Linked DNA regions of Anolis sagrei. The protein of the gene in region 1 interacts with the protein of each later gene in a pairwise test. Links are inferred from orthologs where the notes say so. Each region holds a gene or a part of one and is shown on either strand. Other genes may lie near its edges.

Region 1 (10,043 bases):
TTAAAGTTGGCTTGTTTGACTGAATATTTTTACCCCACACAGAGAAACCCTTAGGCATTCAACAGGGTCCACTGCTAATGATCTCACAGAGAGAGGAATGTTGCTTTCCAACATCAAGGAATCAGCCTAATTAGCAAAATGCTTTAAAAATTATGCATCTACACGCACACACAGAGCTTCTTTAATTAATTTTGTGTTGCTAAAGAAATTGGCTGCTTGATCAATTTCAAAAAGGTGTATGCAGTATACTCTGGGCAGCAATTAGCTATTTTACGAAGTCATTTGCCTTACCAAAAATCACAATCACCCTTGTGACTTATCAAGTTAAACAATACTGTCATGAGAAAAATTATAACAAGTCATTTGTGACTTATCAAGGCAAGCAATATTGTCATGAGGAAGAACTACAACATCAGAGGTTGTTGGTGGTTCTAAACAAGAAAGTAAATACAGTGGGCCTTCAGTATATGATGGGGGTTGGTTCTAAGAACTCCATGGATGCAAAAATCTGTGGATACTCAAGATCCATTATATACACTGCTAACAAAGTCCCTTTTATAAAAATGGTGCACAACTTAAAAGACTGCCTGAGAGAGCCGACAAAAAGGCTATAGCAGGATATGGCTTTATAGTAGTGCAGCTTACTTTTCAGAATGTTTATACTCCCAAACCAGATTTAGCCATGGTTGGTTGCATCTGTGGATGCAGAATCCATGGACACAGAGGGCCGACTGCAACTTTTTAAAAAAAAACAGTAAGAGAAAAACATCAATCTAATGTACTTTTCACCCTTGAAACCATGTGGACTTGGTTGTTGAAATTAGTCAAAATATTTTCATAACATAGTTAATGTGCCATCTGGCTACACTATTTTGTAGTTGCAACACTATTAGGTACCTTAGAAAATACAGCTGGTGTAGACTCAAAGCTTATACTGCAGTCTTATTGTACACTTGCACTGCACAGTTTAAAGTGTTTAATGAATGGGATTAAGTCATTAATATTTTAATATCAAATGCCCAAAATTAAGTGGACTTATGATTCCTTTATGTATCCAAGAATGTAATCATAATCGCTGACTCAGAGTAAAATGTATTTGAGAAAGTGGGACTTAATGTCTGAGTGAATACAGAAAAAGGCCTTCTTATTCCACAGGTTGAATATCCACCGTTTCACTATTCATCTCCAGACAATATTGGAACTGTTTGTGAGCCTCTCTAGGTCCTCCAGTGCTATTTGATAGTATGCTTCTAACCCAAATACAGTTATCTCTCCATATTTGTGAAATCGACTTTTGCTGATCTGATTGTTTACAGATTTGATTAAAATGTTCTTTCTAGAAATCTTTGAGAATCTTCAAGGTAACTATGATCATCTTTTGCCAAAGGTTGATCATAGTTATGCTGGAGGATACCTCCAGAAGAACAAGAGATTCCTAGAGAGTCTGACCGCAGTGGATGTTTACAACAATGTCATGCTGCTAAAACTTGATATTTCTTGAAAAGTGTTCTCAGGTTCAAAAACAGACATTTTTTTACTTGTGTCTTTTCACTTTGTGGGGGCTTATGCCCAGCTAATAGAGAAGACTGCCTATGTAGTCAAAACAGGGTTTCCTGGTATCCATCGTTGTGTGTGTTTGTGTGTGTGTTTTGGAACGTATCCTCCATGAATATGGAGACCATATTATATTTTCAAACAGTACAAATTTAGAAGAACATGAGTGGATGGTGTCATCTTAGAAAAAGAATCTGATCTCTACTTAACAAAAGTAAGAATTCACTGCCTGCTACAATATGAATATGCATCTAAAATATTTTTATTTATTTAGTTAATTTTAATCCTACTTTTCTCCCGGTATGGGGTGTTCAGATTTGTTTTATTTGCATGCTAATGAACACACTACACTGTAATTCAATCAAGAAAGCCATGGGTCTCCTTTGTTTTCTAATGATCAGATATCCAACATGCAACATAAAAAATTCACCTTTCTCACTTTTGCTGGGTATACCTAAACCTAGATAGCTAACTGTTATGATATGAAAGTTCAATTTTTTTAAAAAAAAAAAACCAATAAGAAAACTAACACAACCATTCTTTAAATAAATACACAACAAGCCATTTCAAGAAGAATTGGGACTCAAATGGGGAATTTTGATAGCTAAAGTAAATAGAAAAGGATAATATAAAGAACTGAATCATACTTTCTTCACGATTGATCAATTAAAATAACACCAGAGGGTGGGGTGGGGGAGGGGGAGAAAAACTACTGAATACAAGTGAGACTTGATTGTGGAGCTGGTAAGGTTAAGATAATAGGATATATCAAATTGAGAGAAAATGCAAGTGGAATATCATTATCTATTTTTTCTGTTTAACCTTGTGGGATTGTTTTTGACATTTGTATCATTCTGCTTGTGTTTACAACAATAATAATCATTTCAGTAGTTGTGTTTACATTATTACTTTACTAGTAACAACTGATCAGCCCCATCACCATAATATCTATGTTTTGCCATAGATAATATAATATTAAATGAAACTGATTTTTAAAAATAAATGCCATTATGGAACTAGAAATAAATAAAGTTCACTTCCATTTTTAAATTACTGTGAAAATACCCTAAAAATTGTATATTTTCCTAGTGGGAAATCTGCATACCTCCTTTTCCATTAGGCGTTGATAAGTACTGTAATCATAAGATCTCTGCAAGATAAAGCAGTGAGCAACCGGACAAAAAACCAAGAGTAATTAAATTACAAGGCCACTGCAGTGTGCAGATGCTACTGAAATGGAAGAGTTAAACCTGAGAGCACCATGGGAACACAGATACTAAATGGGACAGTCATATGTTTATGGTAACCACAGTATTTTCTTTTCTTCTATCAACATGCACAGTTTATGTTTTGTTCTTGAGTAACTAACACTCTTCTTTTGTTGTGGAATCAACCTTGGACCCAACCTTTGACAAACCTGATTCCAAGCTTAGATTTTATCTTGTGGTTCACATATATATATGATTTTCACACACACACACACACACACATATATATGATTTTATCTTGTGGTTCACACACACACACACACACACACACATATATATATCAGCAACCTGAGTGAAGCTGCCTTTGCAGAACACATGCAAAATAGTGGGAGTGAGTGGTTATCTGCAAGCTGTTTCTAATGACCTGCTATATTAACTCCCAAAGAAGAAGCAATGTTAAAATGAGCAATTTACTACTTGGCAACAGCTGAAGTCAACCACCACAGTCATTTTCACTGGCAGAAATCTCAACACAAGTCTCTAGGAATGAAAAGGATCAACATCAGGAGGATATATGCAAAAAGGCCTGTGACTCTGGATGGAAAACTCATCCTCATACAACAAGGAGAACCAGGACAGCCTGTTGAGCCACTACTCTTAAGTATGCCTTATGTGCCTTCCCAAAACACAAGCTACAAAATGTGTGCTAAGTGTGGGATCCTTTCTCATCATCACAGAGCCTGTCAGGTCCTGCCCAATTCTGAAATACAGATAGAGCTTTCAGCAGCCTATAAATGCATCTGCTCTGATTAAAGCAAGACTTCTCTCAATAACGATTACACGAATCCAGTTTAGTCCATTATCATATGAGAGAAGTCCAGCTACTTTGTTCTTTACCACTACATGCTCCAAAATTCCAATGAGCAGAAATATGTTCAGGATGTTTGATGTCAGCATAAGGGAAAACAATACATGGCATCTCTTGTGTCTTGGCATTAAAAGATACTCAGATGAAAGCAAAGAAAGGCAAGTCTCTTATCTCTCCCCCCATTTTTATTTATCATGGTAACTAAAGACAAACATGTTAGGTCAGTTCAATACTTGGCAGCACTTCAGGAAGAAAACTATATTCAGATCCTGATAAGATTTCTTCGGTGTTACAGGTCACGCTAGATTCCAGGGTGGTGCCATTATTGTAGAGTGATAGAATGTAAAACAGGCCATGTGGACAATGTCAACACTGGTCTGTTTTCCCATGAAGTGTATCAGTGATTGTAGTTATTTCTGCCCCTTTTCAAACATGTATTGAATGTAAAGACAAGGAAAGGTATAAGCCACAAACCTAATTTTGCTAAATTCCTTAGATTTTACAAAAAAGGAAATTACCAGCTGGACTAAGAACTGCAGGATCAGCTCTCATACTGAAGAATTACCCAGAGGCATTTCTGATATCGAGCCAAACAATGAAGAGTGCATGCTTGTGATATCCCAGGCAACAGCGAACTTTTAACACTGAAATGCAGCACCTAACTATTCTGGTCAAACAATGGCTACCTTTTCTTTTGCTGGCTTTATTTCCTGGCAGGCATGTATCAAGGACTCCTTTCCACGCATATAAAAAACTGAAGGCGGATTTCCCCGTCATGAGGAGTAAAAGAGCTCATTGCGTTTCTCCATAGAAACTAAAACAATCCACAACAGAGGCCCCTCCTGGAAACTCCAAGGCAGGAATACAGCACCCAGAAGGGGGGCCACAGCCACAAGAGGCTCGCCACTCCTGGGACAAACCAGGGCAATGAAAGTCAGCTCCCCGCGTTGAAGTAAAGTTTTCCAAGTAATCCAAAGCAAGGTGGGAGTAGAAGAGGTGAAGCTGTAGATCTGGCAAAGCTCCAATTAGGTATATCCACTAGATCAGCAAGGCTCCCTGATAAGGATCCTGGAATTTCCAACACCACATCTTGTACGATTTCAAGTGCATCCAACCAGACGATAATGAAGCTCTAGCCCAAGAATGAAGAGTACAGCCAAAGACAAAACAAGTGAAGACGGCAGCACCAGGAGTAAAGCCACCGGCTGTGGACAGAGCCCTGATCTTGCTCTGCTTCAGCTCCTAACAAATGGGAGGGAAAGGAGGAGGAAGAGGCGGCGTCCCTCCTCAGCCCAGGGAGGGAAGGGAAGGAGGCGGGTGATGGGGCGGACCAGTCTCACATGACCGGCCGGACTCTGCTGGCAGCCAGCTAAGGCAAGCATTCCTCAGAGCCAGAGACTGCTGAGCACAGCAAAGGAGACGCTGGGAAAAGAAGGGTTGGGCTTTTTCTCTGCCACGCAAGGCCAGCCCCAGTCACAGCTCACCTCAAAGGCATCACTCTATTCTTGTGCTAAGGAGTCAGGGCAATGTCTGTACAATGTGGCTTTCGATGCTAACTTAGCAACAATTCTCCACGGTGTTTACTGGGGTCCTTTCCAACTTTACCTGGCCAGGTCAGTGACTCAATCTGGAGCTCTTTGCAAGCACAGCATCTGCACAGCCTCTGAATTTTGGACCTTCCCATAAAAGGCCGCTCTCTGAACTAAGGATCATTTTTTAAAAAAGAAACAAAAGTGAGATAACATTAGCAGTGCACTCTCCTCTGTGATCTCGCCAGAAAAGGATTCCCTTAGCAAACTGGGCTGGCAAAATTCAAGAAACTTTAGCGAACCCAAACTCTGTGGAGGACATAGTAATCCGGGGGTGGAAGTTGTTGTCGTCTCTGCAAAAAATGGGGGGAGGGATTACCATATACAAAATACTAGGCACAGCAGAGAGCAACAGTGATGACACATGGAGGAAGCAACTGCTAATTCTAGAAGTTCATGGATACACTTTTCACTGTTTAAAGCATTTAAGGAATGTATATGGATAATGTGTAAAAAAAACACGCGCACACATACACAGTTAAGGCAACAACGACAAAAAAGGAGCAAAATTATGGCTCTTTATTCTTATCTTTGTTTCACGGGCACTTCAAAATGCTTCTAAACAAAGTGATAGTCTCCTGTGCCTTCAAGTTACCTGTCGACATACAGAGACCCTAAAAACTTCATAGGGTTTTCTTAAACAAGGAATACTCAGAGATGGTTTTGTGAGTTCCTTTCACTGGAATATAGTTAGTCCTTGATTTGTTTCCAGTCTATCCCCACATACATCCCATGGATATGAAGATTCACGGATGCTTAAATCCCATTATATGCAATGGCATAGTAAAACTGTGTGTAAAATCAAAATTTGCAATATTTTCAAACCATGGACGGATGAATCTGTGGCTAATGCAAACTACATCGCTCACAGAACTTCATATCCATTGGTGGTCTCCCACTGAAATACTAACCTGGGATGAACATGCTTGGTTTCCAAGATCATACAGGATCTGGTACTTTTATTTATTTATTATTTGTTTGTTTACGACATTTATATGCCGCCCTTCTCACCCTGAAGGGGACTCAGAGCGGCTTACAAGGTATATATTACATACAATATATTATATTATTAGCATAGTACAATATCAGCATTAAACATTGCTATATTGCACCATATCACTATATCGTAATATTATTAGTAATATTACATGTAATATAAATATATAATTATAATATATTATTATATTGCATTACATTATAATATTATAAATATTTTATGTATATATATTATATTATATTATTATATTTTATATTATTAGAATAGCACTGGAGACAAGATGGAATGTCCCCTGGCCCCCTCTCTCTTCTTCTCTTTTATACATTTACTTCCTAAATATGACCCTGGTTCCACATGAGATGGAAAAGAGATATGCTAGGTACGTTGCCACAAACCAACTGTTGGGACAACTACAGGTCAGTGCTATGTTTTGAATCATGGAATCCTAATCTTTTAAAATGTAAATAAATAAATGTAAAATGTAAATAATCAGTAGATGGAAGAGGTAGTATCAATGCATACTACATTGCTGCTCTACATTACAGATGTGATGACAGTTATTATATTAATGTATTTCTAAAGGAAGTACAAAAAAACTGGAGAAAACAAAATTGCTTGCCAGAACTGTAGCAATTGGACTGTGTTTAGCTATGTTTAGCTCTAAGAAAACATAGATAACGACAATATATCACTAACATCCTGAAATTATATACTCTAGACTGTATTTGCTATTCATTTTTCTTCCAAAGCACTACTCTAATAACAAAAAAAGCATTGCACTTTATTTTATATATTTATTAAAATATTTACACCCCATCCTATGTCAAGTGATCGCAAGGAAATTTGTAACAGCAGTAGAACAGGTTAAACGGGCTAAAACAGCAACAGACTGTACATAAACTTAAATCACATCCAACAATATGTTTAAAAACCAAGTTGAAAAAGTTGTAAATAATAATATTTAGGTTGCATTAATGAGGTTCAAAGGCTTTCATGGGAGGAGCATTGGTGCCAGCTGGGCCTCCAGGAGATGAGCATTCCATAGCTGGGATGCAACAGCTGAGAAGCCTTTCTCCCATGTCCTGACATAGTCATCTCATGGTGGGACAGGGAAAACCCCTCCTCTTCTGAAGATCTTAATTCTCAGACAGGTAAACATAGGAAGAGGCATTCCTTCAAGTGTCAGAGTTATTTAGGGCTTGCGGTATCCCCATAAGCACCTTGTATTCAGACCTGAAATGTATTGGCAGCCAGTGCAATTATTTTAAAACTGGCATTAAATGTTGTGTATATGATATTTCTTCAGCAGTCAAGCTGCTGTACTTTGCACTAACTGCAGTTTCCAAACCTTCAATGGCAGCCCCATGCAGAACACAGTGCAGTAGCCTAGAAGGTTCCCAGTGCATGAATTACCTGTGGTTAGGTTATCCAGGAAAGGTCATAGGCACCAGTCAAAGCTGGCATGAAGCACTCTGGGTTACAAAGCCCACTTTAGCCTTCAGTGACACGGATGGAAACTAGGAGCATTCCCAAGCTGGATATCTGTTGCTTTATGGAGAGTCCAACCCCATCCAGAACAAACTGTTACTCAATTCCTGGATGGAATAACTTCCATTTCACAGAGCCTACGTCTACCAGGATTCAGCTTCAGTTTACTGGCCTTCATCCAGCCCATGACAGCATCCAGGCACTAGTCCAACACCTGCAAAGCCCCAGCTGACTCCAATGATACATAGAAGTTTGGTTATTTTTGAACAATCCAAACATAGATAACTTAATAGAAATGATTAATTGTTTCTAAAACTATTCCTCAATCAAATAATTCAAACTCCAGTTTTCAATCCACATTATTAGAAGTATCAGGACATGACAGAGGCTTTATCATCCCAGGACCATAGAAGACCAGACTCTCCCCACTTTTGTATCTCCTCCCTTACCCACCAACCCCCCCAAAAAAGTGTTTTAAAAAACTTCTTTCAGCAAAAGTTACAACCAGACATTTAATTCAATTTCTCAATACCTCTTTTAGCTCATATAGACTATTTTAGTGCCATATGGATTATTTCTCAAACCGCAATGACAACCACTTCCCATTTTGAAGAGAGAAAAAAGTCCAAATGGGCATAAAGCAGGCAATGGGGTGGGAACTGGGTGAAATGGTCAACCGCAAGATTTCATGAGGGACAACTGGCCAGTTCTAGTGAGAAAGGGTGCACAGGAAAAATGAGGGGGGGGGGGAGCAAACTGTTATTTCAAAGGTTGGCTATATGTAACCTGCAAGATGAGAATAGAAACTCACAATGAAGTAAATAACTAACTTAGTTACAAAGTCACTAATGTTATAATACCATTCAACATACTTGCAATGCTTTAATCTGATACGAACACCACCAAATTACAATAATTTTTCCTCAATTTCATATGTGGTACCCATAAACATTAAAATTCTATAAATAATAGTGCCAATATTAAATAAGTAGCTTTTATTTGGACCTCTGTCTCTGTGTAGTTTAAAAGATTTCCACTTGCAGTATACAATGGTCTGAGTACACATTAAAACTTTCAATCCTATTTTCCTCCTATCATAAGCACTTTCCTGTGTTGGGGGTCACCTCTGAAGTTTCCCAAACATTATTGGAGGGTTTGTTTCCAGAAGGAAATAATTCAGAATTTCACTGCAGACACACATCATTTAGCAGTCATCTGGACTAAGACCAAATCTAAGCAACTAAATATATATGAAAGCTTCCAACAATATTCTACATTGTTTGCAGAATAAATCTTCAAAGGATTCATCCATTTGAGACATATATAGCTCTCCTTAGACAGCAGAGAAGGCCTTCCAAAACTCAAGTACATCAGAACATTTAAGAGTTCACACAAGCATTAATTTGGGACTGAAAGACAACTGCCAAAAACAACAGTCTGACAGGGTAAGAAGAACGAAGCACAATGACCACCATAATCCCACTCTTGAGGAACAGGGTAAAATGGTTTATTCCTATGCAATTCATTTGCCACTGCAGTGCTGGTGCATCATCTTCCTCTCCATCTATATGGGCTGAGGAAATGGAAAGGTTTTCAAGCCTTGCTTATACAAAATAGGCCTGATGCAAGTAGTATGGGTTTGCAGCAGTAGTGCTTCCAGGATTTTGCCCACCGAAAGCAATGACAAACTCCAAAAGATTGCTGTCACTCTATAGCACAGCAGCATCCAAAGTTTTCAGGAGGTACGCCACAAACTATGTCCAGAAAAGGTGACCATGCTACTCTAATAGGGAGCCCAATACATAACCAGCGTTATACACCTTGTCTTGAATCTGTCAAGGCAGATATGCACACAATTGTGTAGAAACTAGAAGCAGGTTGAGTTAGCTATGGTAAGAAAATATGCTTTTTTCTGCCTTCAGCAAGAAGATGGCTCAAATCCAACAGCTCCTTGTGTTCTTTTCTGACTCTTAATATTATAAGCAAATAATCTTTGCATACATCTTATCTTGTATTGAATGGCTGGAATGCAATGGCAGAGTGCATGACTAAGTTCCATGTCCAATTCCAGGCACAGGGTTAAGGAAAAAATCTTGCCTAAAATCTTGGAAAATTGATGCTGGCAAGCGTTAACTGCTGTGAGCTAGTCTCAATGCAAGGCAACTTCCCATGTTCCTAATATAAAGTGCAAGTAGATAGTGTATCGATTTGCACTTTATATTTGAAGATTCACTTTCTGATGGGCAAAGCCAATATTTAACAGAATTCCTTAATTTTCAAAGGAAAGGCATTCAAGGATTTTTATTTAAAGCTGTAACTTTTACCAATTTACTGAAAAT
Region 2 (10,371 bases), on another chromosome or scaffold:
GTCAACTGACTGTTAGGAATTGTGGGAGCTGAAGTTCAAAACATCAAGAGGGTCGAAGTTTGCCCATACCTAGTCTATAGCTTTCTCTGTCAAAGAGTTCTGGTGCCTCACCAAACTACAAATCCCAGGATCCCATAGCACTGAGATATAGCAGCTAAAATTGTGTCAAACTGCATTGATTCTACAGTGTAGATGCACCCCATACTGGAGTAGATTACTAGTTCCCACTTCCCTATTTGCACAGAATTTTGTAACACAGCTCTAAAAGCCTCAATAAGAAAATGAAATTGATATAGCCATAAATAACAAAATAAGTTTTGATACAATCCATTTCATACATCTCCAGGATTTAAGGATTCTTGGACATCTATAAAAATGTCCAACCCTCAAAATTATATTTGCATAATATTTTAAAGGGTCTGGAGCTGTACACTACAAATTAAGCCCCCACCACAAGAAATCTACAAGAGTTTTGGCCTTGGGTGTATCTACACCAGACATGGGCAAACTTCCAACAGCCTTGGAGGGGTTTGGACTGGATGGCCCACAAGGTCTCTTCCAACTCTATGATTCTATGTTAGGAATCGTGGGAGTTGGAGTCCAAAACACCTGAAGGGCCGAAGTTTTCCCATGTTTGGTCTAAACCGTAAAATGAATGCAGTTTGACCCCACTTGAACTGCCATGGAACAGTGGTAGTTGTAGTTTGGAGAGGCATGAGTATTCTTTGGCAGAGAAGGCCCAAGACTTTGTGAAACCACAACTCTCATGGTCCCACAGCCTTTAGCCATGGCAGTTTAAACTGGTACCAAGCTGCATTCATTCTCTAATGAAAATGCATTCCAGGAAAAAACTGCTTGACTATCAAGCAAAGCGTGGGTGCTAGAAATAACATCATACGAAAGCTGACTGGGGCTACCTGGAGATCACAGTGAAGACATCTGTCTTTGCGCTTTGCTACTCTGCTGCTGAGTATGCATGCCCAGTGTGGAACACATCTCACCACGTTAAAACAGTGAATGTGGCTCTTAATGAGACATGCCGCATTATCACAGGACATTCACACCCTACACCACTGGAGAAATTATATTGTTTAGCCAGTACTGCACCACCTGATATCCACCAGGAAGTAGAGCCAGCAATTAGAGGACCAAGGCATTGACATCTCCAGCCCATCCCCTGTTCAGATATCAGCCAGCATGCCAACGACTTAGTAAAAAGCTTACTAAGATCTACAGAGATACTCGCAGGAACACCTCAGCAAGCGAGAGTCCAAAAGTGGCAGGCTAAAACCCAGAGCCTCAATCAGTGGCTGATCCTGGATGAGAAACTCCTTCCTTGGGACACAGAAGAGTGGGTGGCCTGGAAGGCACTGAACAGGCTGCACTTTGGTGGCACAAGATGCAGCGCCAATCTTAAGAAATGAGGCTACAAAGTGGAATCCATGACATGCATATGTGGAGCAAAGCAAACCACAGACCACTTACTACAATGCAGTCTGAGCTCCACCACAAGCATAGTGGAGGACCTTCTTACAGCAACAACAGAGGAACTCCAAGTTGCCAGTTTCTGGTCAAAGGACATTTAGTATAATGCCAAGTTTTACCTTTGTGGTTTTTTTATACATTATAACTGTATTCTCAATTCGTTTCTGATGCAATAAATAAATTATTTCCAGGAAAGTACATCTACACTGTGTATAGTGTACTTTCTACACTGGATGATGAGTGCAGTTTGATCCCATGGCTCAATGCTAGGGAAGCATGGGAGTTGTAGTTTTACAAGGTCTTTCACCCTCCCAAAGAGTGCTGGTATATACCCCAACTACTATTCTCATGATTCCATCACCCTGAGCCATGGCAATCAAAGTGGTGCCAAACTGAATTAATTCTACAGTACAGGTGCCCTACTGTCCTGCAAACCGGTATGTACAGTGTTGCTCCTATCTTCTTTTAAGTTGCTTCTCGCCAGCACAGCTGTCCTCTTAAGAAAGGGCGTCTGTGAATTGTTTCAGGCTGAGATCACTTGCAGGGCTCAACAAGCACTTTCTGCTTTTCTTCGCTTGCAAGTGTTAAGGCACACTTTACCTCGCTACAGTGTACATCCAGTCCATAAATGGCACTCTCTCAGTTCTGGCACCCATCAATCAATAATGCTCCATTTGAGTTGTTAGAATGAATGGAAGGCAGCTCTGATAAGAACGTTCTGTCACTTTTAGTAGTTTGATGTATCAGAAATCTTCCATTTTTGTCTTTTACTTGAATAGAGGAAAACTCCCTATTACTTTTACTTTCCCATGATTCCATTGCACTGAGCTATGGCACTTAAAGTTGGATCAAACTGCATTAATTCTATCGACAGCAGTGTTTCTCAACCTTCCTAATACCTCCAACCACAAAATTATTTTTGTTGCTACTACATAATTGTAATTTTGCTACTGTTATGAATCGTAATATAAATATCTGATATACAGGATGTATTTTCATTCACTGGACCAAATCTAGCACACATAGCCAATACACTCAAATTTGAATGCTGGTGAGGTTTTTTTTGGGGGGGGGGGGGTTTGGCGGGGGGGGGGGAAGGGGATTGATTTTGGGTTGTTGTAGGTTTTTTCGGGCTATATGGCCATGGCCTAGAGGCATTCTCTCCTGACATTTCGCCTGCATCTATGGCAAGCATCCTCAGAAGTAGTGAGGTCTGTTGGAACTAGGAACCATGAAAATGAACACAATCTGGCTACCAGTATTAAAAAACTCTAAAATTACAACAGCACAACAACAGAGAGGAAACAAACAAGGACATCTAATCACCTCTCAACAAAAGTTTGCTCTAGGCACTGCCAGGCAATCAAATGCTAATCAAGGTGATCAGTTTAAACATTCACACCTGGCTCTAGCAGACAAGAGTCCTTTGTCTCACCCTGGTCATTCCACAGATATATAAACCCTTTTTTCCCTCCTTTCTGTTGAAATTGTCCACATGCTTGTGTATTTCAATGGCTTCTCCGTGTAGTCTGACATGGTGGTTGTGAGAGTGGTCCAGCATTTCTTTTGTCATTTTGATTTTGTCATTTGGGAGTTGTAGTTGATGGGATTTATAGTTCACCTACAATCAAAGAGCATTCTGAACTCTCCCAATGATGGAATTGAACCAAACTTGGCACACACGACCAATAGAAAATACTGGATGGGTTGGTGGGCAGTGACCCTGAGTTTTGGAGTTGTAGTTCACCTACATTCAGAGCACTAAGGACTCAAACAATGAAGGATCTAGACTCAACTTGGTGCAGATACTTAATAAAAAATGTGAAAAATGGTGGGGTTTGGGGAAAATAGACCTTGACATTTGGGAGTTGTAGTTGCTGGGATTTATAGTTCACCTACAATCAAAGAGCATTCTGAACTCCACCATGGATGGAATTGAACCAAACTCAGCACACAGAATTCCCATGACAAACAGAAAATACTGGAAGGGTTTGGTGGGCATTGACCTTGAGTTTTGGAGTTGTAGTTCACTTACATGCAGAGAGCACTGAGGACTCAAACAATAATGGATCTGAACCAAACTTGACACAAATACTCAATATGCCCAAATGTGAACATTGGTGGAGTTTGGGGAAGATAGACATTTGGCAGATGTAGTTGCTGGGATTTATAGTTCACCTACAATCAAAGAGCATTCTGAACCCTACCAATGATAGAATTGGGCCAAACTTCCCACACAAAGCCCCCATGACCAACAGAAAGTTTTTTGATGGTCTTTTGTGACCCCTCTGACACCCCCTCGTGACCCCCAGGTGGAGAAACGCTAATCTACAGACTTTGGACCTAGGGCAGGCTATTAGGAATTGTGGGAGTTGGAGTCCAAAACACTTGGAAGGCCAAAGTTTGCCCATGCCTGGTCTAGATGCACTGCTAAATTCATAAAATCATAGAATCAAAGAATTGGAACAGACCTCATGGGCCATCCAGTCCAACCCCCTGCCAACAAGCAGGAATATTGCATTCAAAGCACCCCTGACAGATGGCCATCCAGCCTCTGTTTAAAAGCTTCCAAAGAAGGAGCCTCCACCACACTCCGGGGCAGAGAGTTCCACTGGTGAACGGCTCTCACAGTCAGGAAGTTCTTCCTCATGTCCAGATGGAATCTCCTCTCTTGTAGTTTGAAGCCATTGTTCCACGTCCTAGTCTCCAAGGAGGCAGAAAACAAGCTTGCTCCCTCCTCCCTGTGGCTTCCTCTCACATATTTATACATGGCTATCATGTCTCCTCTCATCCTTCTCTTCTTCAGGCTAAACATGCCCAGCTCCTTAAGCCGCTCCTCATAGGGCTTGTTCTCCAGACCCTTGATCATTTTAGTCGCCCTCCTCTGGACACATTCCAGCTTGTCAATATCTCTCTTGAATTGAGGTGCCCAGAATTGGACACAGTATTCCAGGTGTGTGAAATGCAAGTGAAACTTTAATTTCACAAAACTTTTAGTACTTTCCCCACTCAAAACAAACCCTATTTAAGTAGAGAAGGAATAAGAAGGAATCCATACTCACTTTTCTCCAGTCTTGCTTTAAACACCGAGAGAACACACTCCAACTAGTCGCCAAGCAAAGCCACGCCCACCGCCCTGCACAAGGCCCCGCCCCTTTTCAAGAACACATGCGCGCGGTTTCGAAGCATGCCGGGAGTTGTAGTCTTCCAAAACAGGACGCACGTCGTTTGACGCACAGCATGGCGGGGAGGGTCATTGCGTGAAGGTCGCGAAGCATGCCGGGAGGCGCAAGGCCGTAAGGGAGTAACGGCTTCTCGGCGTGGTTTAGTGTCGTGGTTGCCGCCTCCCTCCCGCACCGTTTTTCCCCTCTTCTTCTTCAAGGAGGCTTTCGAGGCGGAGAGAGAGAGAGAGAAAGAGAGAGCCCTTCTTTGGCCGGGCTTTCCTGAGGGCCATGTCCTACTGCAGGCAAGAAGGTACCCGGGGATCTCTGGCAGGAGGGGAGGGGAGGAAGGAGGCAGAGCAGGCCTCGGGCCCCAAGCGAAGGACCCAAGGCGAAGGGCTCCTGGGAGTTGTAGCTTTACAAGGTCTTCAGCCTTCTCTGTCAAAGGAAAAGGATTCTTCGCAAATCCAGAGGTTAAAATGGGGTCAAAGTGCATTATTTCTACAGTGCAGATGCACCAAGGTGACCCAGGTCTCACCTGCACTGGACCTACAATCCAGTTTCTGAAAACAGATTATCTGATTTTAAACTAGATTACAGGAAGTCCCCAAATTACGAGCAAGATAGGTTATGTAAATTTGTTCTTATTATAATAATGTAATACAATATAGTAATAATACAGTAGAATATATAATAACATTGTAATATAATAAGGCTAAGATATTATATCTGATACTACTGATAATATATAACAATATATAATGATATACTCTATTATTATTTTATATTTTAGTTTGTAGTGTTTTTGATTGGGAGCTGATTTGAGTGTCTGCTTTGAGAGATAAAGCAAGATATAAATAAAATAAGTCAGATCATTTTTTCAGTATAGTTCCAGATAGATAGATACACACACACACCAGGTTTAGATAATATAGGGAAGGGTGAACACCCCTGTGGTGTTGTTTTGCTGTCTGTGCCGCTGTTCAAAAGATTTCATCCTGTGATAATTGGATTTTGAAAACTGCATTAATTCTACAGCAGGGGTCCTCAAACTTTTTAAACAGAGGGCCAGGTCATAGTCTCTCAAACTGTTGGAGGGCCAGATTATAATTTGAAAAAAGGATAATGAATTTCTATGCACACAGCACATATCTTATTTGTAGTGCAAAAAACACTTAAAAACAATACAATAATTAAAATGAAGAACAATTTTAACAAATATAAACTTATTAGTATTTCAATGGGAAGTGTGGGCCTGCTTTTGGCTGATGAGATAGGATTATTGTTGTTGTATGCTTTCAAGTCATTTCAGACTTTGGTTGACCCTGAGCGAGGACCGGGTAAATGACCTTGGAGGGCTGCATCCGGCCCTCGGGCCTTAGTTTGAGGACCCCTGTTCTACACTGTAGATTCGTTCTCAGTTAAGAAGGACAATAGACTAGATGTTGTGTAAAGAGTAACTCTGGTATCAAAAGGCTAGTAATCATAAGCAGTTTGTGGACCAACGACTTAGAAGTGGGAAGGCCCATCTAGTCCAATCCTCTGCTGTATAGGAACACATAGCTAAAACAGTCTTTCTAAGACAAGCATGGGCAAACTTGGGTCCTCCAGGTGTTTTGGACTTCAGCTCCCACAATTCCTAACAGCTGGTAGGCTATTAGGAATTATGGGAGTTGAAGTACAAAACACCTTGCTGGATGAAGTTTGCCCATGCCTGTTCTAAGGGATAGCCATCTTGTATGAACTTCACATGTTTAAGTTAATTTTTCACAAAAGACAAAATTCAACGTGAAAGGAATAGATATAGCACTTACTTTGCATCTTTGTTGAGGTTTTATCTAGGTTTTTTCCTTGTTCTTGCTTGGGAGAGAACCCTGTGAGGTCAACCAGGTGAGATTCAAGGTCATTCATTGGGAGTCATGTGGCTGAACCTCTGCCATATTGAGATATTCTTGAGAAAGGGTATGGGTTTGAAATTTTCCTCCTAACTTACTCTTCAATATTTCTGGATAGGTAGAGTATTAAAAGCTTGTTTTCTACTGCTCAGAAAACACAGAGCAATGGATTCAAATTACAGGAAAAGAGATTCTAACTAAAATTAGGAAGAACTTCCTGACAGTAAGACGGATTTGCCAGTGAAATACGCTTCCCTGGAGCATGGCTGAGGCTCCTCCTTTGTAGGTTTTTAAACAAGCTGAATGACCACCTATTGGAAGTACTTTGATTATGCATTGCTGCATGGCAGAAAGGGATTGGGCTAAATGACTCTTGGGTCTTTTTCAACTTTGATTCTAAAAGGTTGCATTCCCAAGAAACATGGAAGCCTATCTACATCTTTTCTTTCCAAGGGCAGGAGACACGCTACAGTGCATATTACAGTCTTCTGTTTGAAAGGTACTTTGGAGGTGGTAGGGCTCAAAATGTATACCATATATACTTGAGTATAAGCCGACCCAAATATAAGCTGAGACACCTAATTTTACCACAAAAAAACTTGGAAAACGTATTGACTCGAGTCTAAGCCAAGGGTGAGAAATGCAGCAGCTACTGGTAAATTTCAAAATAAAAATAGATACCAATGTCCTCAATTACATTAATTGAGGCATTACTAGGTTAAATGTTTTTGAATATTTACATAAAACTGTTATTTAAGATAAGACTGCCCAACCCTGATTAAATCATTATTCTAACCTTCAATGTAAATGTGCTTACATATTCTTCCAATAGTAATAGAGTAAAATAATAAATGTAATAAAAATAATAATAGAGTAAAATAATGTAAATGTAATAATAATAAAAATAGAGTAAAATAATAAATGTAATAAAAATAATAATTACAGAGTAAAATGATAAATAACTTTGACTCAAATATAGGCTGAGGAAGGCTTTTTCATCCTAAAAAAAGAGCTGAAAACTCAGCATATACTTGAGTATATACAGTATATCAAGGTTGCTTAGGCTACACTAACATCACCTTGGAACATGTGTGGCAACGAGCAACTCTATGGCAGCATTCAGCTCCCAAGGCTGTTCCTGTCAGTCTGAACCTATGGTATATTTCTGTATGGAAAGCAGACACTGACATAAGGGAAATCTTTTGGCCTAGTTGCTGATAAGGCAGGTCAGGAAGCTTTGAGATAGCTTTTTGGATTGCTAAAATTGGATCTGTGAGGCAGCTTCACTTTCCCAATCCTTGTTCCCATGGAAGGGATAGTTTGACATTTTTTGTACCATAAGTTATTCTGTAGGTGAAAACAAGTGGAAATCAAAACATAGGATATATTTGATACCTTTAAATCAAGCATCACTCTTGATCATTTTATTCTGAGGACTAATGATGGCTTAACATTGGGATTTTGCATATTTTATTTCCCCATTATGTTTATGAAGTTGATTAAACAGAAGGCCGTTTCACTACCTGGCAGCATTATCTAACACATTCTTGCTCCTTGACATAGATTTATTGCTGAGTGAGTAGTAGGCCTTGTATGTATTTTATGTTCTCATTTTTATGATCGTATTTAGTTCTTGGTGTTGATTTTAGAAGTTGTTCTTTTCCTCATTCTTAGTGTGAAGGCTCATTGAGTTTTCTCTTTACATTTCTTTCAATTTTCCCTTTCCTTGCACATAGAACGGAGTGAATGATGACACTGACTAGCAACTGCTGTCAAGTTGTGTAAGGATCACATGGTAACATCCAACAGAAGCATAAATTACAGCGTTTGATTTAATAGGGTACAGTTGAGGACATAGTCTAATGAAAAGCTAAATGAACACAAAGTAATTGCTGTAGGATAATAATAAAATCATAGGCATTTAGTAAAGCAGTTTAAATAAAAGTAATACGTGGATTTAAGGCTAAATAAAAGTTGTTTATTTACTTTTAAAGATATTATTATATTTATTGATTGCCTAGAGATACGCTTTGGCAAGCGGTATACAAAAAGTTGTGGCTTTGATTTTTACCTGGCAATTTTGGTACCTTGAAAAGTAAGAAATCAGCTTGTGTCATATATTTCATGGATTATAACAGGGGTGAGAGTCATGCCGACTTCCCGATGCTGGACTAAAACTCCAGCATTCCTCACAATTGACTGTGCTGGCTAAGGCTGCTGGGACTTACAGTTCAGCAGTATCTGGAAGGCAACATGATTCCTATCCCTGGATTATTTATTTATTTATTTCATTTATATACCGCTTTTCTCAGCCCTTGGGCGATTATAGGCTCTAAAACTATGGAAGATTAGTCTATAGTGTATTTGTGATAGATCTTTAAGGTGCTACAAGTTTCTCTTTCATTTTTTCTTCTGAAGCAGATCAGCACAACCACTCCTGTAATGAGTTTTCTTAATATCACTTAAATCTATATAAATAAAAATGTAATGTTCGTTTGTGATACCATCATATCTCAAAAACCACTGGGGGAATTGGCACCAAATTTGGACACAATACACCTAACAACCCAATGTATGTTCTCCACTCAACCTCCCCCCCCTCAAAAAAAAACACTTCCCCCTCCCTCCCCCTACCCCCCCTTAGAAAGACGATCAACTGTAAGCCTCAGGCAGGGGGAGGGGAGGAGTGCACGTGCATGGCCAGCAGCGAGTGTGCATGGAGGCCCTTCCTTCAGGAGCTGGAGGAAAAACCCTCATCCCTGCAGGCCTGCTACCCTGTCACTATCCTTTACATCAGGGGTCCTCAAACTATGGGGTGTGGAGAAGGGTGAGTCCCCCCCCCCCCAAGAAGTGCTTCCCTGGGCAGCAGCACTGGCAGGTACAAAGGAGGCCGGGCTCCCTCCTCCTCCTCTTCCAAGGAGTAAACTTGCAACTGAAGGAAAGGAGGGATTGGGGGGGGGCACATTAGGAGCTGAGGGGAAAAAACAAACAAAAAGAGGTAAACAACACTTTACATTTACTTTGTGCCTTCACTCTACAGCAATGCCCTTCTTTTTTGGATTCTCCATGCTCCAACATATTGGAGGAAGCAGCAGCAGCAAAAGAGGCGGGGGGGGGGGGAGCAGCAGTAAGGGAGACGGACTCTCCTCCCTCTCTCTCTTTCTCTCTTTCTCTCTCTCCCTGCAGCATCCACCGGATTCCTGGCTATGGCTCTGCAGGCTTCCAGCCCCATGCTAACTTTAAGGTTGTGTCACATGGCTCCTTGGAGGGGGGGGGGCTAAGGATTACCCAGCCCACCACTCTCCAGGGCCAGCAAGAGTGACCAAAAGCTTTATTTACTGCAGAGGAGGCTCCTGTTTGGAGGAGAAAAGGTGAGAGGCAGGAGCCTGAGATTGGGGGCTGAGGCCTGCAAGAGGAGAAGTTCTGTGGGCAAAGATTCTTGGAATGGCTGGGTGCCTCTGAGCATGTGCAGAGTGATTCCTTGAACTTTCCAAAGGTGATTGATTGCAACTCCTTTCATCCCCAAAATGATGGGAGATGCCTTTGAGAAAGGATGGGAGATGAAACTAGGGGGTGCATCTGCACTGGGAAATTAATGTGGCTCAGTAGCATTTTAACTGTGGATCCCAGGGAGTTGTAGTTTGACAAGGCCTTGGGCTGCTTCTACAATGAATGCAGTTCGGTACCACTTCCGCGGCTCAATAAATCATGGGATTTGTTGTCTTGAGCCTCCTTTGCCGAGGAGTATAGGAAACTGCAAATCCCAGGATTTTGTAGCAGTTAAACTGCATTAATTCTACAGTGTAGATCAGGCATGAGCAAACTTTGGC

Evidence for each region.
Region 2: the proteins of SIAH1 (region 1) and TMEM43 interact in binary tests that used the Homo sapiens proteins (3 or more experiments, as listed by UniProt). The two-hybrid records come from large-scale screens. The link is inferred for Anolis sagrei from reciprocal best matches to the Homo sapiens genes SIAH1 and TMEM43.

The regions. Positions count from the first base shown.
Region 1 is NC_090028.1:36,558,424-36,568,466, reverse strand, and holds the start of SIAH1 (E3 ubiquitin-protein ligase SIAH1), read right to left. Parts: upstream 4,901-10,043; 5' UTR 4,408-4,900; coding exon 4,317-4,407; intron 4,285-4,316; exon of another isoform or gene 4,183-4,284; coding exon of another isoform or gene 4,149-4,182; intron 1-4,148. UniProt on the Homo sapiens protein: E3 ubiquitin-protein ligase that mediates ubiquitination and subsequent proteasomal degradation of target proteins.
Region 2 is NC_090022.1:52,194,958-52,205,328, forward strand, and holds the start of TMEM43 (transmembrane protein 43), read right to left. Parts: upstream 4,614-10,371; 5' UTR 4,548-4,613; intron 1-4,547. Other genes in the region: CHCHD4 (mitochondrial intermembrane space import and assembly protein 40), read left to right, coding at 4,938-4,959. UniProt on the Homo sapiens protein: May have an important role in maintaining nuclear envelope structure by organizing protein complexes at the inner nuclear membrane. Required for retaining emerin at the inner nuclear membrane.